Linked DNA regions of Mytilus edulis. The protein of the gene in region 3 purifies or fractionates together with the protein of the main gene of each other region. This does not show direct contact. Links are inferred from orthologs where the notes say so. Each region holds a gene or a part of one and is shown on either strand. Other genes may lie near its edges.

Region 1 (11,282 bases), on a different chromosome or scaffold from region 3:
TTGGGATTGATTTTGGGGATTATTATCCCAATAGTTTAGGAATTAGGGACCAAAAGGGGGCCCAAAATAATCATTTTTGTAGTTTTCAAACAATAACTTATGTTTAAGTGTATGAACCTCTCTGAAATTAAACCACAAGTTTCCATACCATGAAGGGATGGTTAGTATTGACTTTGGGGGGTTATGGCTCAAAATGTTTCGAAATTAGGGGCAATATTTTAAAAAGGGGGAAAACTAGGTATTTCTGGTCAATGGACAATTAAGATAATTTGTAAAAGCAGTGTAAGGGAGGTAATTCTAAAACATTTAACATACAATGTTGGGTATGTTCGAATTTACCTCCCTTACACTACTTGTATATTATGTATAAAGTAATGTCAGGTTTTGGACTAATCGAAACAAAAAAAGGGTGGTGGTAGTTGTTTTTAATTATTTTTTTCAAATTTCTCAAATTCTAAATTTTTTAAAAGTTAAAAGAAGAAATCTTTAATTGCACAATATTGCGCAATAGATTTGTAAGATCTTGACATTTGTTTTGTGTCAGAAACTCATATTATGTCAAATTTGATTGCAATCCAAATTCAGAGCTCTATCAAGCTTGAATGTTGTTTCCATACTTGCCCCAACTGTTCAGGGTTTCGACTTCTGTGATCGTATAAAGCTGCGCCCTGCGGAGCACCTGGTTTGCGGATACTGGACATGTTTGCATCTCTCCAGTCTGTTGGTAGTTCACCTGTGTCTAGCGAGCATTGCATTATGATTTGTAGAAAGGTCGCTAGTTTTTCAGCAGTCCTTTAGTATGCGGTTTGGGATATTTTCAGGTCCAGATGCTTTGTATTGATTGGTGTTTTTTTGTTGTTTTCCTGAAGTCACTTTTGGACAATCGTTATTGGTTTTTATTGATTTCTACTCGCATTCTTGTTGTTGGTAAGCTAGTGTCTGATGTTGTTGGGAAGACGGACTAGAATTGTTCTAGAAGGAGTTCGTGTTTTCCTTTACTGTCACTGATGAGGTTAGTCCACTTTTTTAATAGTGCTATTCCTGGCGTTTAAATTCAATAAACTTCCGAAAAGGCTTTGTGTCTTTGATGTTTAGGCTCTCAAAGATGTTTTGGTTTATAAACTCATGTCCTGCTTTCCTGAGTTGTTTCTTGCATTCCTTAATTTTTGGAAAGACGTATAGTTTGACCATTTGCTTTTTTCTGACTTGTTTGTAAATTCTGTTTTTTTCTTTTGCATTTTTCTCTTTTTGTGTTTGATCCATGGGGTGTTGTTTCCCAAACTTATGTGTTTTTTGGAATGTTAGTTCTCTGCTTTTTTCTTTTGCATTCAAGTTTCTCTTTTAGTGTTTGACCCATGGGGTGTTGTTCCCCAAACTAATGTTTTTTTTTGGAATGTAAGTGTTCATGGTGTTTTGGAGCTGACTTTTGAAGGTGTCCCAAAGTTGACGTACCTCAGTTGCTTTTTTTTTTTTTTTTATCTTTTCTAGGATGTTTTAAGATCTATGCTAATTTGGTCTAGATTCAATCTACATTCATTTCTGTCAGCAACATTTAGGTACCTAGGGTAATGTTTTCCATAGTTCAGTAGACTTCCAACAGAATTTTTGAAACTTTGGCAGAAACTCTTTTTTGTTTTCTTATTTTGAGGCAAACTTGAAAATATTTTTGTCTCGCCTGCAACGAATTATCTAGTATGCTAGACATAGGTATTCAGAACTATCCGACAGCGACGGCATTAACTATTTGTATCATGAAAGCCTTATATTTCAGAAGGTAGAAGATGATTCATATCTTGTATGCAGATAGCTTATGTTACGAAGTTTCCGTCTGTCATGATGTCTTCGGTTTTTGACCTCATTTTCATGGTTCAGCGATTGCTTGAAAAAAAAATAGAGCTTTTTTTATGTGAATTTCTCACTTATTATGAGGAATAAGATAACCGTAATTGGTTTTTGGGTTCCTTGCGACCTATACATGTCGTCAGAGATGGTTCTATTCGAATGACCATGCTCTTATTTCATGGATTAGTGATCAAGGTTAGAGTTTCGTTTTTCAAATGCAAAAAGCATTATGTCAACTATATGTGGTGAATGGAATGACTTTTATGGGTACATGTCAGTCTGGCAGGTTTACCTTTACCTTAATTCCATGGTTCATTGGTCAATGTTAAGTTATTGTGGTATGGCCGTTTTTTCAAGTACTATAAGGAAGCTACCATTTGATTTTTAGGAGGACTAGTATGAAAAAAATTGTCCTGCATTTTTCATTTTTCACTCTATTTGGTCCTGCCTTTTTTTTTTTTTTTTACATAAAATGTCATCCTTCATTGATTTGGCCAATTGCTGATTTTTCCTTTTTTTTTTTATATATTTCATCGACCCCCCACCCCCCACCCCCCACACACACACAACAACCCACCCCTTTGCACTAAATATGTCAACTATAAGGATTTTGGATGATTATAAATTGTACATGTCTGTCTGGAAGGTATCATCTGACCTTGAACTAATTTTCATTGTTTATACTCAATGGAACGTTAATATTTAGTGTGTTGGTCTGGGTTTTTTTTCGTGAATTACTATAAACAATAGGTGAACCTAATCATCTGGTACATATTTCCCTTATTTGTGTATTAGCATATGGATTTCTATGACTTTTACTATAAGGTTCCATACTTCAAGAGGAAAGATGAGATCAAATTTAAGGGTAATGGTCCAAACCGATTTATAAAAGGGGTGATCATGAAAAGCGACCAAAAACATGAATTTTCTGATTTGTGAGTATAATTCTATTCATTCCTATTTAATTGTGTCACAAGGTGTTATACCATTAAGGTTCATGTGGACCCTATGGCTAAAATGGCCGTATTTTCACCTCAAAATTTTCTCTGAGTACAGACAAACCTGCGCATCTGTAAAAAAATTCAGGCATAGCATGCCCTAGATAAATGACTTTCAAGTATGTTTTATGTTTTAGAAAAATAAAAACTTACCAGGATTTTGCTGTGCACTTTTTTTTATTCCTCCAGAAGGTGCCAAAATAAACTAAGTTGGGAAACAGGTTTGAGAACTTCCCCACAGGTAAAAATTAAAGTGAGCGTTTTTAATTGACATGGACATTAGAGGACAATAGATACCTGACAATAATTGGTTATTTAAACTGTGTACCTGAGTGGACCATATCAAAGTAAACTCAACTGATTGTTAATTTTATCATCTTCTGCAGAGACGAAAAAAAGTGTACGGCAAAATTCAGTTAAGTTATGAATTTTCTAAATCATACAATGCATTTGAATTCTATTTATCTAGGGCATGCTATGCCTTAAAACTTTTCCAGATGCACAGGTTTGCCTATACTCAGAGAAAATTTTGAGGTGAAAATACGGCCATTTTAGACATAGGGTCCACATGAACCTTAAATGAAATTAAAATTGATTTTAAATTACTTTTGTTAATAAGGACCAAAACATATACTTTGAATAAATTAGTTTGTTTTTAAGCAATTTAAATGGGATTTACTTCAAAAGTCTTGAATTCTTGGAAGCGTTTTCATGCTGAATCTAATTGGGCATTTGAAATTCGGATTTAAGAATTTGATTTTGAAATTATTCATATTAAGGAGCAACCATTTGCTTTCAAGGGTGGGAATCATTTTTCTTCTAAGTCCGCAAAAAAAAAAATCCCCAATAATTTATGTAATTTTTCCACGCTTTCAATCAAATTATTTTTTCTCTCGAAATTTAACACCCGTGCATAAATCGAATTTAGAATGGTTTTTTTTTTGTTATCTACTTGAGCATATTTTTTTAATCAAATTGGGGACCAGAATATCTTTTTAGGAAAAACCATCAGCCCCCTTTGAAGTTAAATGGACATTGGTTGTTCCCTTAAGGTCCAAAGAGTCCAAAGTTAAACTTTTATATGTTAAAATAGGGTATGGGCCTTGCTCATTGTTGAAAGCCACGTACCGTACGGTGACCGATATTTGTAAATTTTTGTGTCAGTTGGTCTCTTGTGAAGAGTTTCATCATTGGCAATAAGACCACATGATCTTTTTTTATATATTTGTTTGATTTCTTTAAAAATTAGAATGTTTGCTGGATGTGCGTCCGTTCATCTGTCTCGCTTCAGGTTAAAGTTTTTGGTCGAGGTAGTTTTTGATGAAGTTGAAGTCCAATCAACTTAAAATCAAACTTAGTGTAAATGTTCCTATGATAAGATCTTTCTAATGTTAATGCCAAACCAGAGCTTTTATACCCATTTTACGGTCCATTGAACATAAAAATGATACTGCGGATGGGGCATGTACTAGTAACACATTCTTGTTTTTTTTTTTTTTTTTTGAGGCATGTCCTCAAATTGGTTTAATACATATGCATTAAGGTCCAAAGGGTTCAAAATACATTCTATCTTTGATTTAAAAAAATGAATTCTTGGTGTTCTTTGATATGCTGAATATTAAATTTATCGTGATTTACATTTTTTGACGGATTTGGGAATGATTGGTCCACATTAAGGTCCAAAGAGTCCAAAACTAAATTTTAAAAATAGCTTGCAGTAAAGAAATATGAAACATATCTAATTTTAGAGAACTATTTTGTTGTTTACATCTTATTGATTTGTTATTGTTCGTTAAAGATCGTTATAGCCTCATTGCATGCATTTTTATTTTTTCCATAGATGTGATCCTGCAGTCTGTAGTTTTGTTACTAGCATATATTAAAGATTATGACTGAAAACTATTGTTTCCACTCAGGTCATTAAATATTGCCGTTCACTTGATATTTTTATAGATTGCATTTTCCAATCAATGACTGATTTTGGTCTGTCATTCCATTTAACTTTAAAGGGGGGGTATAGCATGATTAATTTCTGAGTCAGTTTGTTGTGGAAACTGAATTTTTTTTTTGTATTTTTGTCATCGAATTGGGGATAAAAAAAAAAGAATTACCCTCCTTGAATTTAATTTAATGGTTCCCCAATGCCCCAATGGTTGCCCGAAGTTAGTGTAGTGAGTTTGTTAAAGTCGAGATTTTTGCCAGCGAACAAGACACGGAAAAGAATATTATCAAACCGAGAACGGTCTGTATGTTAATGTTTATTAAAATCTGTATCTGAGAAACGATTATAATGAATGAAAAACAAGTTCTTTGTAAAAAATCAAAATCTACATTGAAAATTTCGAAATGAAAATGAAAGGAGTAAGTTTCACGTGTTAATTCACAAAATTGACCAGCATGTCATTTGGCGTCCGTCATCCGCTTCTAAACTCAAGACTTTTAATTAGCCCCCGAAAAACACTGTCGTTTGGTCTAACTAAGTCCATCGCTTTCCATCTATCTATATAACTTTCCGTCAACAAGTGGCCTGTAACATGGTAAGATCGTTGTGGGGATCATATTATGGAAGGATCCTTTCCTTTTTAGCCCTCCCTATTTTGGTACACTCTTAAAACTGATTTACACATCAATCCTGTACATGGTTTGGCAAAGTTTGGTGCAATGTTTAACACAATTAAAATTAAAAAACTTTATGTCTTCATCAAAAATTATATCATTGACCTGACGAAATCTAGAAATGAATTAAAATAAGTAAAAGAAAGAGCATAAAAATAGTTAGCAAACTATAGTTACAGATAAATAATATGAGGCTGCATTACGTGTGAAAGGGGACAAAGTCCATATCAATTACTATTTTTTAATTCTAACATATTTTAATGTAGTCCAAATAATTATGAAGTCTGGCAAGGCTAATTTTAATATTTTTCTGGGACACCTTCCAACGACGTCATAACACTGAAGCCATTTTTTCCACCTGGAGTTTGAGAGCAAGTTTTGGATGTAAAAAATTAGGTTGCAAAGTCCGCTCAATATTTGCTCTCAAAGTCCAGACATAAAAAATGGTTTCAGCGTTATGACGTCATAGGAAGGTGTCCCAGAAAAAAAATGAAATAGCCTTGCCAGACGTCATAATTATTTGGACTGATTTTAATGTTTGAAATGAAACGTAAATGACATAACGTTCCCGATGTTTTCTCTGCTGTTGCTCAAAGTCTTATGACAAATGAGACTGGAAAAAAGACAGAGATTTCTGCCCAAATGTGGGAAAATAAAAAAGTTTTGAGTACATTGAAAATTATATATTTAAAAATATTTTTTTTTATTGATTTTTCTTCTGTTATAGGGGAAATCGTCCCCTTATTAAGAGAAAAAAGTAACAAAAGCTATTACTGCGCCGTTCTTTGAGATCATGATGTTATTATTAATGGACATGGAGACCCCTGTGGCCACCTTTTAGCATCCACTATTTCGTGTTGAGGAATAGGCTTTTTATGCGTGTTGAAGGCCTTACTTTGACATATATAATGGTTTACTTTTATAAATTGTTATTTGGATGGAGAGTTGTCTCATTGGCACTCACACCACATCTTCCTATACATTGCTATATCTACATGTATTAATGAATAGAACAATATTAACATCTGGGCTGTTTTTGTATTAGTCTCTGGTTTACTTTTTAATCATTTTCAGGACAAGCACAAGAAATTACAAGTAACACGAAAAATAAATAAAGGGAAATACAAAGCACACACATCAAACCAAACAAAAGAAAACAAAAAAACAACATCAAAGCACGAAACACATGTGAAATAAAAAGGCTGAATTTGTTGCACGTAAAATCTCTTTAGCACCCTATATCACAATGCCCATGATACCAGCAGGGTCCCTGAAATGCTAGAAAATCTAAAATGGCAAACTTTACAAGAATGCAGGTTAAACATCTTAAAAACCAGACTCCCAATGTTCCTCACAGTCTTCAACAATAAAATTGCAATACCATCGAAGATAAACTCAGAAAAAGCCAGTCTAAAACAAGATCCACCCATCAGTTAACCATTGTTAACAGAAAGACAACTTCAATGTAACTAAGACAGCTTTAACATGTTTAAATTTTCATTCTTCAGCCAAACAATCAAAGATCGGAATAAATTAACACTGGATACCTTAAACAACTTAAAGGATGCACTCCCTCATGAAGTGCACCTTCAAACATTCTCTCACCTAAACTAAATATGCTTATTGTTACATCTTATTATAAAAAATATATATATATATAAAAACTGTAAAAATCAAAACTCAAAAAATTATAAATTTCATAAATAAATAAAAGAAAAATTGAAATTAGCTCAAAAAGAACTCATACAGGCATGCCCTGGAAATTAATCCTATAAAGGTTGATGGTATTCTGTTACTAATGAAGAAGGAAAAGAACTGATATATAACGGACTGCCAATGATGGTCTATACATTGTACTTATTTTAAAAGCTTTCTTACACAGTTTTTGAAGAAAAAAAATAAACTTGTAGGTTCAATCATTTATATTATGTTGTGAAAAATGTCTTGAAGGAAAAGAAATATTACATCTAGATTTCGCTAATTTCCAATAACATGAATGTCCACAGGTATTTGTCTTGATAACAGTAAGATGTATCTTCAATTCGTTTAATAATTTTAAAAGCTTGTATCATATAATCTCTTCACCTTTTGTTAAGATGAAAGTTTAAGTTCTTTTAATCTTTCTTCAATTCATACCCTAAATGTCTTGCATGTATATCCAGAATTCTACTGCATTAATATCTTTCCTCAAATGTGGATACTATATTGTGTTTCCATATTCTATGTGTGGTTGTACTAATGCAACTATATTTGGTGTATGGAAATATTTTATATCATTTTCATACTTCATTGCTCAGTTTTAAGTTTTATGTTTTGGCCTGATTTCATTAAACTATAATCAAAAGGTCAAATATATAAGGTGTAATGAATGATTGTAAGGTGCATAAGTCTGTCTGGTAGGTATCATCTGACCTTGACCTATTTTATTGGTCAATGTTAAGTTTTCTAGTAAAGTTTGTTTCTTAGATAATATAAGTATTATAGATGTTTACTATTATTTAGTGTTGTCAACGGTTAACTGGCTAACCGGTTAACCGTTCGAATGACTGAATACCAAAACCACTAAACGGTTAAACAGTCTTTTTAGCTCACCTGGCCCGAAGGGCCAAGTGAGCTTTTCCCATCACTTGGCGTCCGTCGTCCGTCGTCATCGTCGTCCGTCGTCTGTCGTCCGTCGTCCGTCGTCGTTAACTTTTACAAAAATCTTCTCCTCTGACACTACTGAGCCAAATTAAACCAAACTTGGTTACAATCATCATTGGGGTATCTAGTTTAAAAAATGTGTGGCGTGACCCGGCCAACCAACCAAGATGGCCGCCATGGCTAAAAATAGAACATAGGGGTAAAATGCAGTTTTTGGCTTATAACTCAAAAACCAAAGCATTTAGAGCAAATCTGACATGGGGTAATATTGTTTATCAGGTCAAGATCTATCTGCCCTCAAATTTTCAAATGAATGCGACAACCCGATATTGGGTTGCTGCCCCTGAACTGGTAATTTTTGGGAATTTTTGCTGTTTTTGGCTATTATCTTGAATATTATTATAGATAGAGATAAACTGTAAACAGCAATAATGTTCAGCAAAATAAGATTTACAAATAAGTCAACATGACTAAAATGATCAGTTGACCCCTGAAGGAGTTATTGACCTTTATAGTCAATTTTTAACCATTTTTTCGTAAATCTTAGTACACTGTGTCTAAACCACACCGGCAGAATTTGATCGGACTCGATGGTATCTAACGTCCGGTACAATGACGGAACATCAATAGACAGAAGAAAGATAGGTTTCTCCTTATTTTCTTATTTTTTTAATGATATCGAAGAATATATATACATATACAACTATTTTCTATTGTGAGATGCAATATTTTCTACAACCGTTCTATATTAACGGAGAAATAAGTCAAAATGCATGTCAAAATGACGAATTGAGTGAACCTTGCCTCGAAATTGTTTAATTTCTCTTTAAATTGTTCACATTGTACGGAAAGACAGGTACGGGAAGATAGATATTGACACGGAGATTGCAAATATAGTTATTATGAGCATCTCAATAATTGTAACTCTGTGTATGGAACGAAAGAAATGGGTCATGCTAAAATGGAACTGGCCGGTTTCGTCAATGTATACAACCCGGTTTCGTCATAAATTTCAAAATGCATAACCCGGTTTGGTCAAATAAAAAAAATCATAATCGCATTACATTATAATTGATTATTTAATTTCAGAGTTCAAAAGGAGTTTTGTGGGTCGTTCGAAAACAAGTTCGTTCACCGGACAGCGGCTTATTATTTATATGAGTCTCAGATTAAAATAAATAATAAGCAAATTCCTACTCTTATAGAACTCAAATATTTTAATTTTACTTTGCATTCCGAACTTTTTTAACAGCATATTGAGATTAAAGCTCTTTAAATATGCGTTTTCTATATGAGTTATGGGAAAATATGTTGAACATGTTTAAACTTGAAATTAAAGGTTACGGGTCTTAAAAATAGAAACACACAATTGATATGTGATTTTCTCGCACAAAAGAATGGACACCTTTATAAGTAATCTAATCATTCCATGTATGTAATCTTTTCTACCATCGTTAAAAAATAAATCTTCTTAAGGATAAACGTTGATGACAAATGTATATGCATGCATAATCGACATAGAATGTAGGATTACAACTACCATGCATTAAAATAAAATGTATTTATCACTAATTGTAACTATACTGCTATGTACAAATTAGTATAATAGTCTCAGGTCATCGATAAAATTCAATAATAATTATTTTGTTAACATTATTAAAAAAAACGAGTCTGTACTGTCGCCATTGTGTTATGATGATCGTACACTGACGTTGGTCAATATATTTTGACAATGTATACGGACAGACGGATTCAGTTTATTTCAAAGTAGGCGATTTCGAACAACTTGTACATACCGCCGAGCGTAGCGAGTCGAACAATATTTTGATTATTTTTTGCTTTACAAAATCGTTAAATACAGGAATCAATATAGTTTTGGCAACCGAAGGTGGGTTCGGGGCGTGCAACCTATACGTCATCTAGATTCGCCACTTATCTTATAAAGTGTATAACGAATTAAAATATTGTAAGAAATGAGAAAACAGGGACACCCGGGAAATCGGATTATGTTTATTATAATAAATGCCGAATATCAAGTTCTTTTTATCGATTTCTATACATTTTTCTCAAATATATATAAAAGTTATATAGGAAAATGATAAGGCAGACAAATATACAAATAAATCGACTTGGCCGATATCCTAATAAAACTTATTGACCTTTTATTACGAATTTTTTTTCATTTCTTTGCGTTTTTACACGCCCATCCCAATTTTGACAGGACGTATTATTGTATACACCCGTCTGTCCATCTGTCCTTCCATCCGTCCGTTCCTTCATCTATCAGTCATTTGGTCCGTCCGTCCGTCCGTCCGTCTAGCTATCCGTCTATCTTTCTGTCCAGCGTAAACATGTCGCACCGTAACTTGAGAACAGCTTATCTAGTTTTCATGAAACTTAACAAAGTTATTTCTTGAAATGGTCAAACGATTTGTAAACCTTTTAGTGAAAATCAAATTAAATCTTTTTGAGTTACAGAACTTTGTAAGTAAAACAGGAGTGTTTTTTTTAACATGTCGCGCCATATCTCAATATGGTTAATCATTATTGCATCAAACTTTACACACTTCTTAGTAATATAAATCTTAACTTCTGCATACTTTAAGGTGATGTTTTAAATTTTGTTTTTAAGCGTTAATTAGGTTTTTTTTGTAAAAAAAAAAGGGGGGTCACATACTGCGATGTATCTCAAAACCTATTTAAAAAAAAATATCATAATGTTAATGTTATAAAAATAATTAGATATCAGTGTTTGCTATTGAGTATTTATATTCCATTTAAAATTAGTTTGAAGATCAGTGAAATAACGGATACGACTTTCATTAGGAAAATGTGTAGTACTATAATTACCTATGTAAATAAATGTAAACACGCCAAGTTTACTTTATAATGCATATATATTTAAATTCTTTCGAAAGACAATGTTCAGATCCGTGTTAACGTTGCTTTTCATAAATTGTTGGTTTAAAAAAAATATAAAAAAACCGGGTGACATATATAGACGAAACCGGGTGTTGTGTAGTAAACAACAATGACGAAACCGGTGTATTTTTATTTGACATGGCCCATTTCTTTCGTTCCATACACATAAATACAAGTATTGAGATGCTCATAATGACTAGTTTTGCAATCTCTGTGTCAGTATCTATCTTCCCGTACCTTTCTTTCCGTACAATGTGAACA
Region 2 (11,282 bases), on a different chromosome or scaffold from region 3:
TCTCTGCTATAATCTGCAAATTTTGAGTCAGATTTGCAATTAATTGGTTAGACTATTCATTTATATATTGAAAGACAAATTAGTGATTGATTGCATTGTCCAAGATGTTTAAACAAATATCAAATATTAGTGTCTTTTAGAATCAATTATTAAACTTAGCAATCTAAGAGGAGATAACTCTTTTTTGTAATAAAATAATACTGGACTGATTTACTTGAAAAATAGCACTGTGACCCATACTTTTTATTATATTTTTGCCAAAAAAGCATTGTAAAATCTTTATTTTTGCAAAGTCATGATAAGAAAATTATATCTAAGGAAATATATATACCAATGACATACCTTAACTCATCAGATGGATACAAATAGAAACCCATTTAGGCTTCTTTTTTATTGAAAATAAGGAAATAGAAATTCAACGAAAATACACTTCGCCATCCATTGAAAAGTCCTCTTTACTTACTGTGACATCATAAAATTTTATCTATATCAAAGACCATCAAAAAACAAAACATGAAGATGCCAAAAATGCACTTTCTAAAATTGAAACATTTTAAAATGCTTTGGGAGCAATCATTTGACTTTAAGGAAGGAGGGTTATGAATTTTTGTCTGAGCTAAAAAAAAACACGCACTTTTTGTTTTGTTTTTTTTTGTTTTACGCTATCTACCTTTTATTTTAATTTAATACTGTATTAAAGATATGAGGGAAACCTGGATTTAGAATATGTTTTGGTGCGTTATCTGCTTAGTTATTGAGGTACAAGTCCCCTTGTTGAATCCTTAACTCATCTAGGTGATAGTACTTGATTTCGAGATTTTTTCCTTGTTTGAACCAAACACATTCAATATATGTATTTATATAAAAAAAGAAGATGTGGTATGATTGCCAATGAGACAACTGTCCACAAGAGACCAAAATGACACAGACATTAACAACTATAGGTCACCGTACGGCCTTCAACAATGAGCAAGGCAAATTTATGTATGTATCAGCATTGGAATCTTTTTACAGATTTCTAAAAACTCGTACAGCTAGGATACCAGGCTTATGTGTTACTGTGGGCATCAGTTGTACTCATTGGATATCAGACTTGTCTCTTAATTGTTTTGAATACCATGTATGATCAATGTCATGAAGGGTTTCTCTGAATTTTATTTGTATGGTGAGTTTGATAACTTGATGAGATGGCCGTTGCGTACGCCCTTGTGATATTTTTGCTTTGAATAATTTTAAAACTGCATAGTTGCATGTGCTGTGGACGTTTAGCCAAGTGGGCTTGTTTTGAACAATTCTGATATGGATAGCAAAGGGTGAATGTCCTTTTTTTGAATTTACAAATTTGGGTTTCGCGTTTAAGCTCTCTGTAGGAATTTACAATGTGGGAACGATTATTACAGATACCGGTGGACAGCAAACGAGTTCGAAAAAAGACATGCACAAGGAGACGTGATTTATTAGAGACACATATCGTTTTGAGTATAATTGAAAATATAGAAAAGGACACTTATTGTTGGTTAAATTGGATTTATTGGGGTTAACATTAGATTGTTGGTGATTTGGATTTTCGCCTATCTCACGACCCCCTATAATGGGTATTCGAATATTGAAGGTTTTTTTCTTCTCAATATTGTCCCATATGTATTTCGATACAAAATTATCACCCATTTATATATTTCTCAGTAAGAGTTAGACATCCAGAGACATGTCACATGCTTGAGATCGTAGAGACATGTCACATATTTGAGATCATAGAGACATGTTACATGCTTGAGATCGTAATTGCATTTGTACAGACATTTTTCCATATGAAATACTACCTCAATAATGTATTTGACATATAAAAAGTTAACCATTCCAGCGACATGTCAGTGTGTTTTTAGTGTTTATATATAAAGTCCCCCTCCAAAAACAAAATAAGACAAAATAACAACTATGGAAACATACGATACAGCCGAAAAGGGCTGCCACTAAAAGTGCACAACCAAGGCTTCTATAAAAGAGTACGGAATCAATAGGTGTTGATAGGAATACATACACCATAGGAATACATACACCATAGGAATACATACACCATAGGAATACATACACCATCGGAATACATACACCATAGGAATACATACACCATCGGAATACATACACCATCGGAATACATACACCATAGGAATACATACACCATAGGAATACATACACCATAGGAATACATACACCATAGAAATACATACACCATAGGAATACATACACCATAGGAATACATACACCATAGGAATACAGACACCATAGGAATACATACACCATAGGAATACATACACCATCGGAATACATACACCATAGGAATACATGAATACACCATAAGAATACATACACCATAGGAATACATACACCATTCGACTGTCACAGTACCTGCTCTTTGGTCGGGTTGTTGTCTCTTTGACATTTGATATTCCCCATTTCCATTCTCAATTTTAACATATCGAAGTTCATTATTGTCGAAAACTAGTAATATATGTGTCAAAGAGAACATTTACAGTTTTACTGAATCGTATCGAAGTATTTCTACTAGCATGTTTAACCTTTTCCTTACAGAAAGATGCTTTATATTTATATGCAAGTTGCAGCAGATCGAGTCATATCATTTATTCAACAACAAAATCTATTGCCGAGATGATCTTCTATTTTTCAAAATCTATATGAGTATCAATTTTGTATTCATGCTGGGACCAAAGATTTGTATACTATAGAAGCTTTACGATACAATTCCTGCTGAAACTAAAAGGCCTACAGTGAATTATTACTTTTTCTGGAGAAAAAAAATGAAATGAAAATTCGATGAAATTGCATCAAGGCATCTTATGAAAAGTATATAAAAATTATTTAAGGCGGATCCCTACAGATATAGCAAATTTTTTTTCACCATTGAATTTTTCTTAAAATTTGCATACATATACTATGCAATGGCCTCTATGAAAATTTGAGTTAAAAATAGTATGTCACCAGACTCGTTTCCATGGTAACGGTCACCAAAGTTGGCACATCACGTGTATGCATAAATACATACCTGATGTAGAAACTCTGGATTTTTTTTTAAGCCTTTGAAAGTATTTTGAAAGGTTTGTTCTTCATTTATTACAAAATTATTATTTAAAATGTAAATAAAACACAAATAATGGCAGTTTTATTCATTTTCATTGATTTCGGCTCTAATTTCATCAACACTGCTCCACAAAAAAAACACAGATTTTGTTAAAAATTTCTATTTTTCTTAAATTTCCAAAAAAATGGTCCAATGAATATTTTTTTAAATTTGACATAAGATGGTCATAACAATGAGCTTTAAAAAGAAATAAAAAAAAATATGGGTCACCAGACTATTTTTTGCCCGAAAAACGTTTTTGTGACCCCTAACGAAACAGTGATCAACAGCAGTTTTTTTATATCTTTCATCATCGGTGTGACATATGTTGTCATATCCTTTGTTAAACTAACACAGAATAATACAGTTTCACAAGGCAATCAAATGAGAACAATTTTTTGGTTTCTATGAACAACGGTTACCATGGCAACAGGACATGAAGTTGGAAAATTCAAGTTTTTGCATTGTTCTGATGTGCAAGATTAACAACCTAACAGACAAGATATTGTATAAAAAAAAGAGAAAATGTAAAAACTTTATTCTAAAGTAGAGCAAGGATTTGTATAGTATCACTATACAAATCCTTGCGTAGAGTATAACTTGATTGTTATAGAAATCTCAGGTACAAATAATTTTAAAAAGAACTACAAAATTCAATTTTCAATTTTATAGAGTGGGGTGCCCATATTCGCCGGGGACACAATTTCACCGTTATATGATTTTGGGGTGTAAAAACTTCAAAGGATGGCTGAAATGAAGAAATATGCCGGTGAATTATATTTTTATAACAAACATGATTATTTTTTAATCTGAGACAAAATTTTGGCAATTACCGCAAAGGACCGAAAAATAGACAACGATTTTCGGCTGATTTCCTGAATGAAAAACATGGTTTCAAAGAAGCATTTCAAAGTAATTCTTTGACTTGATTGCCCTAAATTTCAGTTCATTACACCTTTGAAATGTCTGCTATTCATCTATAATGACATTGATTTGATAAACATTGTTTAAAGTTATTTGGTTTTAAATAGATGTGTAAAAACGGCGAATATGTGTCCCCCATCGACAAAACATCAAGAAATTTCAAACACCCTTTAGTCTCACTTTTAAGATGATTATTTTCAAACAAACACGTTTTCAAGCTTAAAAATATTTTGCATTGGAAGTAATCTTCATATAGAAATATCAGTTTACTTCAAAAACATATAGACCGGAACATAAACTGTAGAAAACATCGAAAGATATGGCGAAAATGAGCACCCCACTCTACAAATAATTTTAAAAAGAACTACAAAATTCAATTTTCAATTTTAATAAAATTGAAAATTGAATTTTGTAGTTCTTTTTAAAATTATTTGTACCTGAGATTTCTAACAACCAAGTATTTATATAGTGAACACATATATAAGATCGTATAACCAGAGACATACAACAGTAATCACAGGTTGTACGAAATTTTATCATTTATTTTGAGGAAAGACGGTAATAATACCACTCGTTCGGAACTTCTCTGACGTTATTAGTTTATGAAAGATTTCCGACTATCTCCCCACATGTTGATAAAATGGAAACAAACAACATACCACATGTCCAAGCCAGATTCTTTACAAAACAACCTCAGTAATATGTTTAATCAATTTATTAGTTAAAATTATTTTCCTAATGTCAAACCTAAAGAGGGTGTACTCCAGAAGTACCCGTTTAAAACCGATAATTCGATTGATTTTCCAAGCTCAGCATCAAGATAAGTCAGATATTAGTCAAACAAATTTATTTTCTTCTTTATAACTGTTAGGATGCCAAGAAAATATCATCACAATTTCTCAGGAGAGTTTTTCCCTGAACAACACCTATCAGCAAGGGCAGTTCTTTCAGAAAGCAGAAATCAGAAACTCATTTTAATTTATGCTCCTTTCAAGAGCATACATAGAAACTCCCCTTGAAATATGTTTTTAATTTACAGAGGGTTCCCAAAAATAGAGCATTGCACCATTTGAAAATTGCATTTTACTTTGATTTTAAGCTTAGAATACTAGAAAAGAAGGTTAAAAGGAAGGACTGTTTGCAATGTATCTTGGGTACATCGAATGGCATTAGTTCCCCCTTTAATAACATAAATAAAGTCCCATGGAAATTATGCATTAAAATCTTCATTGTAATGTGTAGTATGAAAAAAATGCCGACAAGATTCCAGAGACAACAGTTTGGGGTATTGTGTCATTTTAACTAGATATATTGCACATTTGACCTCAAAATTTTCTTTGATATCTTGGATTTCCAATTTAATTCAAGATAATACTAGATTTATTTCACTTGACTGGGCGGGGTTTAAGAAGTTTGCTCATTTAAGACCAGTCCATCTATGGACAGGAGTTTTGGGACTCATCAATGAAGTGTCCAGTTATTTTTCGCATACCACACACTCAGTTCTTTAGTACAAAATGTATATGTGTTTGATGACACTGATAGGTGATTAGAATTCAATACTAATTATAACGGCAATCATCCTTATCACACACATCTTTAAATAGATTGTCCTTATGCAAATTAAAACATAAGCTCCGCCTGATCAGTTGAAATAACATTGGTAAAACAACTTACCGGTAATGAAGATCATGTTTTTTGTTGGCTCTTACAGTTTTATGATTTTTAGAACCAAGATAATGTCTGAAAGATCTGGACCTAGATTTGTTTTTTTAACAATATTGTTTTATAAATGTTTTATGAGTTGAAATACCAGAGATAATCGGTTGATAACTATTTTCCTGAACAACAACAATTAAACATTGTACTAGTGTAAGAAGTCACATACCTGCCAACTTTTCAAAATGACCATGGGGTTTTTGCGTGCAAGGTGGCTCATATAGTCCTACAAAACCTTCAAGGGGGCCTTCAAATACATTTTGATGTTGGTTTTGGGCTTTTGCATACTTTTAAAAGCCTTTAGCTATTGTAAAAGTCATTGTTTTGTTTAAAATTGTTAACAAATTTGCTCTTTCAAAATTTCCATTTGGGAGCTTCCATGGGGGAAATCCCCCACAAATAGTGACAGTTGGCAGGAAAACCCTTCTAAGTTGAGAAGCTTGAGATGGAGAATTTTTAACTAAGAGATAAAAAAATTGAAAAATAGAGATACATTAAACTTAGCATAAGATGTGAACTTTTTATTTGTTTTCTTTGTTGATTACTACATGTACCAGTGTTTATCTATTGGTAATCAGTGTTTTATATTTATCAGGATTTACATGTTATTTCTTTTTCTTTGTCAGCAGATAGTAAAATCATTAAAGAAAGAATGTACCATAATATTTAGTCAACAGTATTGTTGCATTAAATTATTAGTCGCTGAATGAAAAAAGTCAGAATAAACCAACAAAGAAATCCATTTCCACTTCATTTTGAATTTTAATATTTTTTAGGTTTTCAGTTCCATCTGCACCATTTTCAGTTCAAGCACAAGTTGGAACATGTGACCTGAGTTCATTAATAAACAGTCTATTGAATGGTTTGTATGCTTTTCAACCTTAAAATATAGAGCATAGTTGATCTTTAAAAGGAGTAAAGTAAATTCTGATGAAAAAGTTTAAAAGTGCTTAATATAATTTTTTTTGTTTTGCTTCTAAGTTAGTGCAGAAAAAATATTTGTATTGAATAAGAAGAGCAGCTAAATTGAGAGTATGTTAACATTGAATATGTGCATGTATGTAACATAGATTCTAATGCAATTTGGATGTTACAATTTTTTTCATTGGCTAAAAATTGCCGTCAAATCCACAGTTGACCAGGCGTAACTAAGGAGGGACCGCCATTTTGAATTGATTGAATCAACAAATGTTCGTTTACTTCTATATAATCGAAAATAAAAACAACACCTACCTCGAATTTGCCGTTTTAATGTAATTTTATCCGAATTTGAAGCGTACAGGTAATGTAATAAACTCCAGTTTGAAAGTTTTTATTTATACGATGCACGTTAAGCCATGACGTCTTTGTGCCAAAATCATTCATGAAGTTTCGCAGATTTTTTTCTTTTTGTCAAATTTAGACATTTTGTCAAGTTTTATTGTATTTTTTTCTTTTTGTAATGCATTAGAATCGGAATAACAGTACTGTAGTTGAAGAGTTGCCACCGTCAATTTTGATTTGACGGTCGCAAATCTCCGTTTTACTGTCTCCGCTACGCGTCGCCAGTAAAACTGCATTTGCGACCATCAAATCTACAATTGACGGTGGCAACTCTTCAACTACAGTACTGTTATTCCTTAAATCTACCTTCATTTAAATATATCCTGTAACTTTGATAATCACAAAATAAAATTGCATGGAAGTGGTCTGAAAGGGCTGAATTCGAAATAAAGTATCTGGGAAAATAAGTTGGTTTACAGTATAATAATATTATATAACTTGAGTTGATATCAAGCCATATCCAGTTCTCAATTGTTATAAGACCTTTAAGGTACCCAACACCTTTACTAAAATTAATTTGACTCGTTTAATTTTCATAAAATTTTGACAAAGTATTTACTTTGACCCTTTAACAAAAATATAAAAATTTCAAAATATTTGAACCAAACGTTTTATCAGGAAAATTACACTGGTTATATAGCAGTTTGACAAACACACATTTTGATCATTGAGAAGCTTAATATTCCCTTAACAACACAACGTAATTAAAACGTTTAGCTGATTCTACAGAGTTATCTCCCTGTAGTGTTAGGTACCACCTTAATTAAATTATTTTTTAATTAAATAATTTTGTATTGATCGTTTTCAATTTCAGAGGGCGATGGTGAGAAGACAAATGTTGATTTTGATTTTTTAATTGATGGAGAATTTCTGCGACTAAACTTAGATAAGCATCTAGAAAACAAAGGCATATCAACAGTAAGTGTTTTTAAGACATTTTAGTACAAGTACAGAATGAGTGCCACTGGTCCAGGTTTATATATCTATTAAATGCCTTTTAAAGAAAAATATACGTACACTTCAGGCTCAAACAATCATAAAATTGGTTTATGTTCATTGTTCACTTTGGAAATAGACGACTGATTGAGATCAAAAGACAATTTGAATAAATCTTTGATTATTGTTGAATTAATAATATTGACTATGATGGAGAAAATGCTAAATAAGTTTTTTGTTTTCTGCTGAGAACCTGTCTGTACAGGAATTTTTACCTAGAAATCAACACAACAAAACAGATTAAATTTGACAAATACCAGAGCTGACCATAAGGTGTTTTTATATAGAAATTGGATCCTCTGTTTTATAAACTGACATGTATTGGATATGGGGAACAAGGTGCTACACTATTGGTTATTGCTGTATCCATTTTAATGTGTTTTGATTACTAAATAATGTTTTCTGATAAAAATCCTTTCTATAAATAATTGTTTTTAAAAAAAAATATCACAACTCATTCATGGTGATTTTTGGCTTATATTCACACACATATACATCCCTTTTAAAACAATTTATTATTTCTATATTAAGGAGTCATTGGTTGATATAGAATACATTGAAAAACAACAAGCTCCAGAACCAGAAGACTCACTAGTACATGATGACTGGGTCAGTTGTATACAGGGCTGTAAAGATTGGTAAGTATAAATGTAACCATGGAAATACAACAGTGTCTATGGTAAGGTATCAGGACTGTTAATCTTTGAGGAATTCCTGCTTCCTGCCTACTGAAGGCCAACTAAACCAATAAAAAAAAAATCCTGTTTCAACTTTTCAAATAAATAAAACTTGAAAAAAAATCTGAATTCTCAGTATTTGGCCATCCACATAGCAAGGGTTAAGAAGATTGAAAAATGAGATCAGTATTGTATTGCATGTGAAATTTAAATGGTTCTGTTTTATTTAGTTGCACATTTTGCTATACTGTGAAAGTACTTTAATTCGTGGGTATCAATTTTCGTGGTTTGAGGAACATTTACGTGGGTTTTTAAATTTGTGGATTTAAGTTTTCTATGAAAAAAAAATTTGTAAAATTGAAGCCATTAGAAACAAAGGTTACAAGTTGTCTGGATTGAAGGAAATGCAAAGTAAACATTGACCTGTCTAAATTGTTGTGACCCGGCACACTAATTAATCCTAGATAGAGTGATCAACAGATTAAAGATCAAATTAAAGGTGTTGATTAGGTCATTACCATGTCAGCTAAAGAAAACAATTACATAAACAAATGCTTTAAGCGTATCTTGAATTGTAAAATATTTTTTATCAAAAGCCAGCCCAGCATGAAATTTTTATTTCCTGTATGTACGAGAGTTATGAGTAATCATAGCATAACAAAACCAGAAATCTGTCTTTCATCGATCAAAATATTGTTTTATTTGATTTAAAAGATAAAAAATTGTACAGTTAAGGTTTTAAAGATTAAATGGATCTAATCCTGCCTGCAGTTGTAGTTCATAGTGCATTTGCCTTGTGACAACTATAATAGTATTCTTAGATTTGGCGATGTTCAATATGTTCTCTAGATCATATCAGAAGTGAAACCTACATGGGGATATTTCCATATCTTGATTTTGACAATGGTTGGGTTTTTTTTCATTGGACACTTAAATTCGTGAATAAAGTCATCCACGAAAACCACGAAAATTGGTTCCCCATGAACAAAAGTACTTTCACAGTAAAAATAACTTAAAACGCTTGAATGTTGGTGAGAAGTTTTAAAGATTTCTTTTAAAAAAAAGTATATTTGTAAAAACTACATCTTTTTCCTGACCAGGTATAGCCACAGGCTGATCTAGATTTTGAAAAGGGGGGATTGGGAAGCTAGTTTTGGGGCTTTCCAATCCCCCTTTTTCAAAATCTAGATCAGCCCGTGGCTATACCAGGTCAGGAAAAAGATGTTTATTGCCCTGTTATATTTTTAATCATCAATGATGACTAGGCAATCAGTAATATCCATCCATGTTATACTTTTAAGAAAATTAAGAATACATCAAGTCATATGTATGTAAAGCAGGAAGAAATAAAAGTTTTTTTTTTAGCCAATTTTTTTTTTTTGAGATCTTTTTAATTGGTCGTAGAACTAAACGATCTCTTCCATAGTTAAATTGGTTAAAGTAGATATGTGACCTGTGTGATATTGCTTATTTTAAATTGTCACCCTATAGTATGCATTCTTTGAATTTCAGCATTTTGTCTGGGTGCTATGACAACACAGTTAGACTCTGGTCAGTTAAAGGTAGTCCATTTTTGACGATCCCAGGCCACTCAGCACCTGTCAAATGTGTTCAATGGATAACAGATGGTAAGAATATGATATAATTTACCATCACAAATATGGTATCTATAACAATTCATACTTAATAAGGCAGCTATTACGGTAAGTAAAGGGGTTAAATAACAAATGAGTAGTTGGTATTAGATTAATGTAAAAAGTTCACTATTGAACAGAGTTCGCGAAATCTTTTTTTCCCTGGTGGTCCTTGAAGAAAATCTGCAGGTCCTCAATATTAATTCCATTCAAAAAAACTAAAATTTAGTCAGTCCTTAGCCAAATTTTGGTGGTAAAATCCTGAGGACAACCACTTTTCGCGAAAAAGTATTGAAGGCAGAAGAGATTAGCAATCCATTAATATTTAGATTACAAAGTTTCCAACCTGGTATTTTTGGTATCTCTATATTTTCGATGGAGTGCTTTGATTGTTGTCATGGTCTATTGTACCTTGCAGTATTTTTGCCTTCTCCTATATATCAATTTTTTGTTGAAGTGTACTGAAAAGAGGAGTTTGTTTGACTTATTTAACAACCACAAATGTAAATTCTCTGTGAAAATCATCAGTATTGCAGACACCCGTATCACATTACTGAAGCATTTTATCACAAATTGTTTTGTAATATTTTAAACATATTCAGATGCAAATGAAATCAAAGAGCAGATTGCTCTGAGGGATACGATTGCCATTGTTTTCATTGACACATGTATACATGTAGCTGGATAATATTATTTTCAAAACTAATTCAACTGCACATGTAAAATATAATTTACGTTATCTGAATAGTTACAAAATAGCCAATCCCGGATACAAGTGTATGAACAATGTACTTATTGTGTTTTATTTTTGTACTATCAATTCCAAGTTTACTTTCCACAGCAGTCACTGAGACTCAAAGTGAGAGAAGGTATTTC
Region 3 (11,282 bases):
AGACAAATTATTAGATTAAAATTATTGATGGTTGCTTAAAATCCAGTGGAAAATAGTTCATGCATGTTCAGGACGAAAACACTATATTGGATAGTGATGCACAATTTTCTTAGTAATGGTTTACATAGCTGTGAACTTGTACTTCTTAAACGGCCAGTCGGACACCACAATTTTCAATTGTTTGTACTGCCTGTCGGGCGACAACATAAGTGATTATATATATATTCCAAAGTCATCCTCGGGAATCAAACATTGTAGTACATAGAAGATTAATCGTTACGTACATAGATCTGTTCTCAGACACATGGAACTGTTATAAAGGGACAGCTTATAATGTAATTCAAACTTGTACGCAGTACAGTCAGAGTCAGATGAATATTATTTGACGAGTAAACAGTGTGGAAGCTGGAAAGAGACAGCTCGCTTAATTGAACGATTCGATACGGATAAATTATTTCTTTGATTTTTGTTATTTTCAGGGAGCTCGAGAGGTGAAAACACAACCAGAATTTGCAACACGCTTATTCCTAGGACATTTGAAAACTGGGTGTATCTCCTGACAAGGGGAAGAAACTCTTACATTAGAAATTGTAGATGCAAGGTATGCAAATGTGTGACTATTAAAAGTTTACTGAGTAGGGGTATATAAATTGTGCATGGCAAATATTATTTAGTGTATATATTTTTGAAATTGGCAAACGTTAACTAAATTCATATGTATGACTGCTTTAACAAATGAGGGCAATTCTAATACATTGTTTTATGATAAGTTCGTATCAATGTCAAAAATATTTATTAGCCAATTACAAATATGCAGTACATTCTCTAACAATAAATATCTATCAGTGCATGACCTATTTCAGCTAAAATGAAAGAAAGTGTTACAAATATATTAAATCTCATATATTATGATCATATTATATACTAATTTGAATTCATTAGTAATAATAATAACAAAACTGCAACTAGATTAAATCACCCACATTTAAATGTAATTGCCACCCCGACTTTGTTCAAGAGATTGATCAATAAAATGTGTAAAGTTTATATATATAAATTTGACATGCATCATTATAATGTTTTGCTTCAATTAGATAAACCGGGTGTGTTTTCATACTGGATGAAGACATGCACCTCTAGAAAATGTATCCCGGTGACATATAAGCAAATGCGACGGTGAGCATGGGCATCGGCTTAATTGAATCAATGTAACTTACTCTATGACTTATTTGATTAAATCATCTTTCTGTAGGTTCTTGAAGAGGGTGATGCATCGACGCCAAGGAGTTGTAAACTGTCAAACAGTTCGAAAGAGTGTTACCGTAAGACCGCCATATGCAGAAGAGCACAAGGCGGCACGTGTGAATGGAAGAATGATGAACAATGTTCATAGCTGTACAATACATGTGTATAGTCAGTCTTTTTGTTTATTTTGAGTTTGGTTTTTTTAATAAAAATTTATGAATGACGAAAGATTCTATCGTTATTCTCAATAAACCATATAATTTACATAGGTATAGAAAAGATACACATGATAGATATATAGTTGTTAGTCGACGAAATTTGACCTGCACATTAAATGTCGATTTCAATACACTTTACGCGTGTTTATAACACTCTGAGTAATTTTTCTCTTTTGAATTCTTGTACATTTTGTAATCCTGGAACCTTTTGCAGAAGAGAAGTGAAAAACGAACTGACAATGCCATTACAAAAATGATAAACACCTGAAAAACAAACAACAGCATACAAAACACAAAATAGAAAATTAAAGATTGAGCAATACGAAAAGTGCTCCTACAGGGTAAGCATTGGCAGATCCATGGGGTGTCCAGGGGTTTGAACCCCCCTTTTTAATAACGATCATTGAATTTGAATGGGGACATATTGTTGGACCCCCCCCCCTTTTATCCTGGGTTGGGAACCCCCTTTTTAAAATAGCTCGATCCGTCCCTTGTAAGCATGTCCTACTTACCATGTGGCACCCATATAGCTTACTATCTGGAATTTGATTTGCTTATTAAAGAAGGTAGTATGGTGACATTCAGTTTTGTTTTTCGCCCTTTGGACTTTTGTGAAAGTTTGTCTCTTATTGGTAATTAAACCACACCATCTTGTTGTTATATTCACGTGATACAATCAAGACCAAATTCAGAAGCAGACAATACAAATCAAAATATATCTGGAACCTTGTGGTGTATAAATGTCAGTATAATAAAACCCACTTAAAGGAAGGCGAAAGATAACAAACGGATATTCAAACTCATTAGTCGAAAATAAACTGGCATTGTCATAGCTTAAAAATAAAATACAAACAGACAATTACAGTACACAAAACATAGCATAGACAACTTTAGACTAAGAAACACGAACCCAATCAAAACTTGGTTATCTATTACGAATCATGCTAATAACTACTGAGAACGGAACAAGTTATCCGTTGTTATTCTAAACAGAAAATTTAGTTTTCTAACGATGAACGAGACATAAAAACTGTCGCTTTAAAAAAATCAATTCAAACGTTTTTATTTTGAACAAATTAACTGTATGGGTTTTAAAACTGAAACACTTATTTAAAAACTGTTCATAAGGATGTCCTGTGAATACTGTGACAAAGTCTGTGCTAATTATTTTACAAAATAATAGAAATTGATCTTTTGTGAAAACGTTAATGACAGGGCTGTAAATTATCTGGCCTTTAAGGGAAGGCAGTTGAATGTCAATCCATTTTGGACCAATTTTATGCACAAAATGATCTTTTCGTGCATTTTCCCCTGTATGCAATTTACCTCCCCAGAACACACAACTTGTTACATTTCGATAAATAAGCGACTGGACTATTTATTGAAAACAGTTATTAACCAGAGCTAGATTATGCGAGTCGGTTTGTCTTTCATATGTAGCAATACTCAAGCCATTGGATCATTTCGCATGGCGCTTGCCTTCAACCTTACACAAAATATATAAAAGATTGCTTACAAGGGACTGATATATTGCATGTAGTTGTTTCTTCAAAACCATAAAAACAGAGAACGTTTACAGCTGCTTTTAAACTATACCGACCATTAGGCTCTGTAAGTTTTTATACTTTGGATATAGATCTGACTTCAGTTTCAAGTCAGTATTAATCCAATTTGAATGAAGGAAAACAACCAAGGTTATATATTTAATTATTAAATGATATGAGCAAATAAGCCCTAATACGGATAAATCAGCATGTGCAATACTGAAAACGTTCCACTGTCGATATAAACCAAGATTTAATATTGCTCTTCGAACAGAGCCAATACAGAAAAAAATAGGGGGAAAAGCCGTATTAGCCACGTTCACTTCTGGTTTTCAATTTTCTAACGCCATTACTTAACTTTATAATATTTTTTAAATTAAAATCATAAAATAAACAGGTTAAATGATGTGCAATGTTTTGTAACGTCTTAAAGTTTTGAAACGGGAAAAACAGGGTCAATACAAAAAAAAGCTGGGGAAAAGCCGTATTGGTCCATGGGCTAATACGGGAAGTTCATTTCCGGTTTTTAATTTTCTTATAATCATTTAATAAAAGTGTTATGAACTGGCTGTTTCTGTATTGGTACTGGTATAGATTTTCGGTCAGCTGTATTGGCCCACGACCCTACGGGTCTCTAGGCCAATACGGCAAACCTTGAATCTATACCAATGCCAATACAGAAACAGAAACAGCCAGTTAATAACACTATAATATATACTTATAGAGAAGGGTATGCGCCATCAAACTTGTCAGTTACTATTTATTCATGTCTACATATTGCCATTGTTGTTTAAAGCGTTTCATATAAATTCACTATAGTTGTATTGATTTTAGTTTGTTGTCTTAATTAAAATAAGAGATGTGGTATTTTTTGCGAATGAACCAGCTATCCAAAAGCCGGAGTGCAAAGGAGGAAGATATATAAAATAATATAGGTTACCGTAAGGTCATCAAAATGAGAAAAACTCACATTAGAAGTAAGCTATAAAAGGCCCTGATATGAAAAATGTGGAATAATTCAAAACAAGAAGACTTACAGATTATAATTATAGTAACAAACAAATGATTTACTAAAAACAAGTATGAAGGACCCAAATCAATAAAATATGCTAAACTCACAGGCCATTGACATGGGATGGACACATAAAGAAATTAACAGAGATTTCGATATATTTGATTATTCTTAATCTACAGTTTAGAAAGTATAAAAATTTTACATGACAAACATATATAGAAAAAATGATCTTTGATAAGGCTGACTAATTGTTTAGTAAAAAACATCAAAGCTATGAGACTGTGATTTAATACATATTTGAAATAAAACACATCTATAACCTTTCCGAAAAAATACACATATACCGTTGCAAACTTTCAACAGGTGCTATCCAGGACTTTGATTGGTGTCTGCCACTTGAGCGTTAATGACCGTTATTGTACAACGAAAGAGAAATAAACTTTTGGTTTTTAGTTACATCCCCATTACCTCCCTTTTACCGGAACTTGAAAACAGTGTTGACATCAAACACGTGCTGCAGTGTTTTAGAAGACTAAAAATGGTTGGAGAGAAGAAAAAGAAGGTACGTATGAGCATAGAGTCAATATTTAGGTTTGTTTGTCTAAATAAAAAAAAGATGTTAGAGCGTGTGCGTCTAAAACGGTAACATAGAAGAAAGTACAGATCTTGTTAAAATGCTGAGACAGAAAGGTTAAGAAAAAAACATCAGAAGATTTAAAACTTTATTTGATGACAATCATAGTGTACCATCTATGGCATCATCAGTTAAACACAATCATTCCTAATAAAATTGTCATGTCATATGTTAATTTCATTATGCATTTATATATGTGACACCCTTAACAAAAGATTAATTACCTATATTGTTTATTTAAAAAAAGCACAATACTGGTACAATACTGGTACAAATTTTTTATACCAGTATTGTGGACAATACTGGTATACCAGTATTGGGATCACCAACTACAGGAGATCCAGGTTTTATACTTATAATGTGGATATAAATATAAAACTAAGTAGATGTGGTATATACATTGTATGATTGTCAATGAGACAACTCTTCAATAAAAAAGGGCATAGGACATTTGAGCGAAAAAGAAAAAAGCACATAGGGTCATTTGAGCGCCGACTTCATAGGACATTTGAGCGCCGGGATATTAACCTTACCTGAGTTTTCAGACAGGACATTTGAGCGAAATTTTCCCTGATAATTTTACACGAATTAAGATTTTTTTTTAAAAGTAAGAAAAAAAAGTAAGATTTAGTTATAAATATTTTTTATTTTATTTCACACCCGAGTAATTCGACCGGTTCTGGCTGGTTTATGTAAGTGAAATCCTAAGTTGATCTCTATTTACCAATCAATTCTACTATAATTCATTGGCTATGCAAATTTTCTTTGTTCTAAAATTCTTATATATATATCTATTAAGTGAAATGTCCCTTGGCACTTGAAATCTTAATACTAATAATACATGTACGTGTTAAAATGGATATTATTTTGACCGAGACTAATAAGGGAAAAAGAAGCCTTGTTTGTGACAGTTTCCGATATAGAGTGGACAAAACACTAAAAGGAGTTGCCGAGTTTTATGTTTTATGACAGTGCTTTGTTTTTAGTGCTTTGTTTACAATTAAAAGATGTTTTAATCTTTTTGTTGGTAAACTCCTGTTTTATGACTGTGCTTTGTTTTTAGTGCTTTGTTTTTTACAATTAAAATATGTTTTAATCTTTTTGTTGGTAAACTCCTCATTTAATGAACTATATTCGTAAGAAAATGTGGTATGATTGCCAATAAGACAATTCTCTATCCAAGACTTGTTTTCGCTCAAATGTCCTACGCTTATTCTTATTTTCGCTCAAATGTCCTAAAATTTAGGCGCTCAAATGTCCTATACTTTGGCGCTCAAACGTCCTTTTTTTTTCTCGCTCAAATGTCCTGTCAATGCGCTCAAATGTCCATTGCTTTGAGCCATGTTACCTGGGATCTGTAAGGTATCAAGTTGTTCCATCCCAAAACCTGTCCAGCCCCAAGACTATCTGGCCCCATTATTTGCCAAAGTCAATTTGTCCTACATTGATCGACCCCAGAATTATTAAATAATGAATAAATTAAAATAACTAGTTCATAAAATTTGGTAACATATATTTGAATCCTGATAGATGAAATTTGTAAAAAAAAGTGGTAACAAGTCTTTTTGATTGGTGCATATTTAAGAGATTTTCTTAAGATTACAAAAAAATAAATTTATCATGTTTATAAATTACACAACAATTATTTTTTTTATAAATTACGCAAACATAAATTATGTTTAATAGTGCATTTGCCAGCGACTTATGGGATTGTGAATGCATAGTTTTAATAAATAGTTTGGTTCTCCTTTGAATGAAATGAGTTTTTTAACCCTTTCAACGCTACACAAAAAAATAGAAAAATGGCTGCTGCTGCTGCAATTTTTTGGTGTTCATTCATTAGAACAGTATATTCTTTTTCAGGCTGCTGTATCTTTTTTATTATATGAGATACAGAGAAAGTTATTGCATGAAAAATGCTCAGGAGAGCATGAACTGTAATGTAAGGGAATTATTTTAAAGGGGCACTAGCTACGATATATATAAAAAAATAAAGTATGATTTTTTTTAGATCAATCATTAATCAAATTGGAATAATGAAATAATAATTTGCTTTTAGCAATCAATTTCCTTTAATTTTGTTGAAATAAGCGATTAAACATAATTTTTGACTGATTCACTTGCAAGTGAAAACGTCATCATCATTCTAACCGGTATTCATGTGAACTTTAAGTTAACCCCTAGCTAGAGATTGACAACGCATGCATTGTACGTGTACTGGTTATTTAAAGAAAAAGAATGTCAACAATGAAAGTGAAACTACAGTAAATCATTTGATTACTAATTCGATGCACATAAAATCATTCTTATATGGTTAAAAACAATGAGAAACATCTATTTTTAATCTATAAAATAAAATCAAACAGACCTATAAAAATGCAATTGCACGTGTTGGTTTAATCTATTCGTATCTTTATTTTTGTTTACATCGCTTATATGGTCATCTGAGGTCAAATCGATAGTTAATTAGATGGCGTCTGGACTAAAATACACACGAAACGAACCTATATATTATCTACCCCATGCTCTGTAAACTGTTTATTTTAGACTTTTTATAGTTTGGATAAATGTTTTACATTGTTATAAACCAAATATGAGAATTTGAGTCAAATCGGTTACAATGAATTTGACAGCTAGTGCCCCTTTAATGAAATTTTTATCAGGTTACCTGCATTTTCAGGTAATTAACTACAGTGATTTTCCAACCCTCATTTTGGGGCCGAATTTCGGCCCCATTCCCAAAGAGAAATATGCTCTTTTTTTCCCAATTTTCAGCTCTAAAATTCCCAATCGTATATGGACATCGTCGCGAGATTTTGTTATTGTCGTATCTCTATATCGTGTATTATTTTGTTGACAAATCTCTGAGCGTTCGGGGTATTTCGGGAGTTATCATTATCATTCACTTAAGACGATGATTGGTTTGCAATCTTTTTTGGATTGCATTGCAATCTACGATATTCTGGTCACGTTTGCGCTTGAAACATCCGAATGAATAATTCAATGACAAAGCAAAAAAATGAGACATAATGTAAACAAAATGAACGTAGATCATGTCTCATAATTCCAAATATTACACAAAGAAGCTAAAGGCGGCGGACGGTAGTAAATGCCGGAAGCTGGAAGCTTTTGGATTCAAAAAGTCGTTTCTACTTCCTTCTGATGAAACAAGTGAAAGAAGGAAAAGACCGACTCTCAGATACAGAACTGGAACAACTAGTTGACATGTTTAAAAATAAACATGAAGGAAAACTTGGAATTTTAAATAAAACTAAAAAATAAATGCTTCAGATTTCAAATGTGTCTTTTTAGAATTTCTATAGATTCTCATCATTATAAATAGAATCAGAAGGGATAGGTTGAATTTTACCTTTCAAGAGTAAAGTTACAAAGCTTGAGTGCATGCAAATGTGTCCTCAGACACATTCAACTTTTATTTTTAATCCTTTTCCTTAAAAAGATAGCTTATTTTGTAGGCAATTCATGCAGTTAATCCTTCTCAGAATGCAGGATTTTGCACCTAATTTTCAAAATTTTCTTGGGGGGCATGCCCCCAAACCCCCCAAGCAAGGCGCACACGACTTATGCCGTGTGCCCTCCGTCGTAAAGACCAATCATATTTTTCCCAATTGCATGGGCCCCAGGAACCTTCCCCTAAACACCAGGAAAATCACTGTAACAGGTAAAAGGTGTAATTTATTACATTTGTATTGAATTTTGAATAAAAACTACTTTTAGTCTTCATTTATTTTGTTGTTTTATCTGCCATATGACAAAGAAGACACCAGTTGCTCGATTCCGTAGCGTATTGCACCATACACAATGTTTTATGTAATCGTGGCACAAAGAAATGGATATGTCCTAAAAAATTTCAGTCAACCTCCGTTCTCCCCCCTTTTTCTACGTCTCGTAATGATCGATCAAATCATATTTCCCACACGAATTAAATGTTATAATTACATTGAGATAAAAAGAAACCTTTTAACTAATCCTCGTTAGTTTCGCCATAGAAATGCTGAAATATTTCCATATTTACAGCTTCGTTTCCGATTTCCGCCATTTGCATTTGTCAAAATATTTTTATTTTCCTTCTACTGCATGATTTTACAATAAAAATTGCCAGGATTTCAGTCGCAAATGAGACTTTGTATATCCTTGATTCAAACGAGTAAAAAATAAGGGAGAACCCAAATGAAAACAGAATGGTTTAAGAGTCCTTATGAAAAATCCTTTGTCATTGCAGCATATGCTGCGAATATCAGTGGGAAATGGCGTACGTCATCGCGGCATATGCCGTGTATAGCGTTGAAAGGGTTAATGCAGAGAAGGACAATTGAATTGAGTTTTCTGTTGTTTCAATTGCGTAATTACAAAAATATGCAGCTTCTCTGGAGTATAAGTCATGTAAGTCATTTTAGGTGTGGTCACTTTAATTTTTTTGCTATAGACTTGATAGATGTCAATTATTTTGAAAGTTTTCCTGTTTCACCAGTCACCACTATCTCTTATCTTAAGCGTGCTACATGTATTTATTGTTTAAATATGTATAGGACAGTCAGGGGTACTAATTGTACAAGTAATTTTTATTTACTTGAAGAAGTAAATATTAATATACCTATATAAGTAAATTTGTAGGATACTTATACAAGTGTATTTTATTTACTTGTTTAGGTAAACAAAAAATTGGGCTGAGTTATGTCCCTTTTAAAAAAGACATTCTGATTTTTTTACTTATAATAGTAAAAAAGTTATCCTATCTTCTTTTCTTGAATTCTTAGGACTTCTTTGTTCAAATAGAATTTTAATTATTTGTCCTTCATGTCCTTTTCAGATTTCTTTACTACATGTACTAATCATGTAAGTGTTATTTCATGGACAATGAAAATCTCATTTGTCTGTAATCCTCAGAACACAAGCCCCCATGGTGCAATTTTTAAGGCCTTGGCAAATACTTAAGATCTTTGCCCAATCAGTTTCTTTGTTGAATTAATGAGATGAAACATTGTACTCCAATAGAAAATTATGAGCTCACATGAAAACAATTGTTAAAGGCATGTTTTTACATCTCAAAACTTACAAATGACTTACTTATACAAGTAAATTTTTGAGAAAATTAAGGGTGGATTATTCAAACGTTATAATCAAGTAATACTGTTATACATGTTATACAGTGTTATATAAGTATATTTTATTTACATCTTTAAGTAAATAAAGATTACTTGTACAAGAACAAATGTAGTACTCCTGACTGTAGGATTGGAGATTGGAAGCATGGTAACTACTAAGTGTATTTCATAAACCTAGATTACATGTATGTAGTAATGCCGACACGTGGAATAGTCAATTGATTAACATGTATTATTTAATTTCAGTATGAAAGTGGTTCAGCAACAGCCTACATGTCAAGGAATCAAGCTATTAAAAAGTTACAACTCAACTTAGCAGATTTTAGGTATGTGTGTAATTTACAGGTTTGGATTTATAAAAAAAGAAGATGTGATATGATTGCCAATGAGACAACTCTCCACAATAGACTAAAATAACACAGAAATTAACAATTATAGGTCACGGTACGGCCTTCAACAATGAGCAATGCCCATACTGTATAGTCAGCTATAAATGCCCCCAAAATGACAATGTAAACCAATTCAAACGAGAAAACTAACGGCCTTTTTTTATGTAAAAATGTTTTTTTCTGTTGTAAAATGTATATAATGAAAATTGTACTTATAAATGTGATGCTTCATTATTGCTTTTCAGGATATACCTTCAGGAAAACTTAAACCCTGAAAATTAAGGCCAAGGATTAAAAAGTACACGAGAATCTCTTAAACCAACAAAAATCAGCATAACAAATTCTCTTAAACCAACAAAAATCAACATAACAACATGGCCTCTCATCTACTCATGATTTATATAGAGGATATTGAAGATAAGGGGGGAAATCAACACAAACATGCAATTAAAAATTTCAGGAAAAATCCGGTTTGAAACATGTTGCATTCTGTAATAATGCAAATGACACATTTTTGTTTCCCTTTAATTTAAAAAAACTTAATTACTCAAACCATTTCCATTGCTACATTTTTTAAAAACACTTCAATAAAAATAATGAAAAACATATGAAAGTTCATACTGCTAGCGATCTTTGATTAAACAATATGAATGATCATGATGATGCTAGTTGTCAGAAGAATGGCTAATGTACTTCTACCACTCTGACCACCTAAACTATATGGCCCACCTAATATCGAAAAATATAAACAATATTGGTAGAAAAAGAAACCCAACATGTCATGCATTATGAAATGATCATGTGTAAAAGACTGATTGCAATCAGGAATTTGTTTTAATTAAATGATCCCCATTTATATAAACATGATAACAATCCACTGAAAGATGGGGAATTCTAAAAAAAGACAGACAAATCTTAATTATCATGATTATATAGAAGCATAATGAAAATTAGCGAGCCGAAAATATAAAAAAAATATGTAACACAGCAACAAATGATAACCACTGAATTACAAAACCCCCTACTTGATACAATAGATAATTATGTTTATTTCAGGCGGTTATGTATACTGAAAGGTATCTACCCACATGAACCCCGACACAAGAAGAGA

What was found.
Region 1: the proteins of pescadillo homolog (region 3) and nucleolar complex protein 3 homolog purify together in Homo sapiens (affinity purification with mass spectrometry; 3 studies listed by BioGRID and IntAct, counting the BioPlex papers as one, with this or other methods). This does not show direct contact. The link is inferred for Mytilus edulis from reciprocal best matches to the Homo sapiens genes PES1 and NOC3L.
Region 2: the proteins of pescadillo homolog (region 3) and ribosome biogenesis protein wdr12-like purify together in Homo sapiens (co-immunoprecipitation; 7 studies listed by BioGRID and IntAct, counting the BioPlex papers as one, with this or other methods). This does not show direct contact. The link is inferred for Mytilus edulis from reciprocal best matches to the Homo sapiens genes PES1 and WDR12.

Annotation. Positions count from the first base shown.
Region 1 is NC_092347.1:48,691,849-48,703,130, forward strand, and holds the start of nucleolar complex protein 3 homolog, read left to right. Parts: upstream 1-5,093; 5' UTR 5,094-5,186; coding exon 5,187-5,201; intron 5,202-5,203; exon of another isoform or gene 5,204-5,374; coding exon of another isoform or gene 5,375-5,377; intron 5,378-11,282. UniProt on the Homo sapiens protein: May be required for adipogenesis.
Region 2 is NC_092345.1:84,387,616-84,398,897, forward strand, and holds the start of ribosome biogenesis protein wdr12-like, read left to right. Parts: upstream 1-4,626; 5' UTR 4,627-4,697; coding exon 4,698-4,753; intron 4,754-6,552; coding exon 6,553-6,638; intron 6,639-7,913; coding exon 7,914-8,017; intron 8,018-8,626; coding exon 8,627-8,733; intron 8,734-10,284; coding exon 10,285-10,400; intron 10,401-11,282.
Region 3 is NC_092349.1:84,177,331-84,188,612, forward strand, and holds the start of pescadillo homolog, read left to right. Parts: upstream 1-4,425; 5' UTR 4,426-4,428; coding exon 4,429-4,584; intron 4,585-10,028; coding exon 10,029-10,108; intron 10,109-11,227; coding exon 11,228-11,282. Other genes in the region: metalloproteinase inhibitor 2-like, read left to right, coding at 480-601, 1,253-1,393. UniProt on the Homo sapiens protein: Component of the PeBoW complex, which is required for maturation of 28S and 5.8S ribosomal RNAs and formation of the 60S ribosome.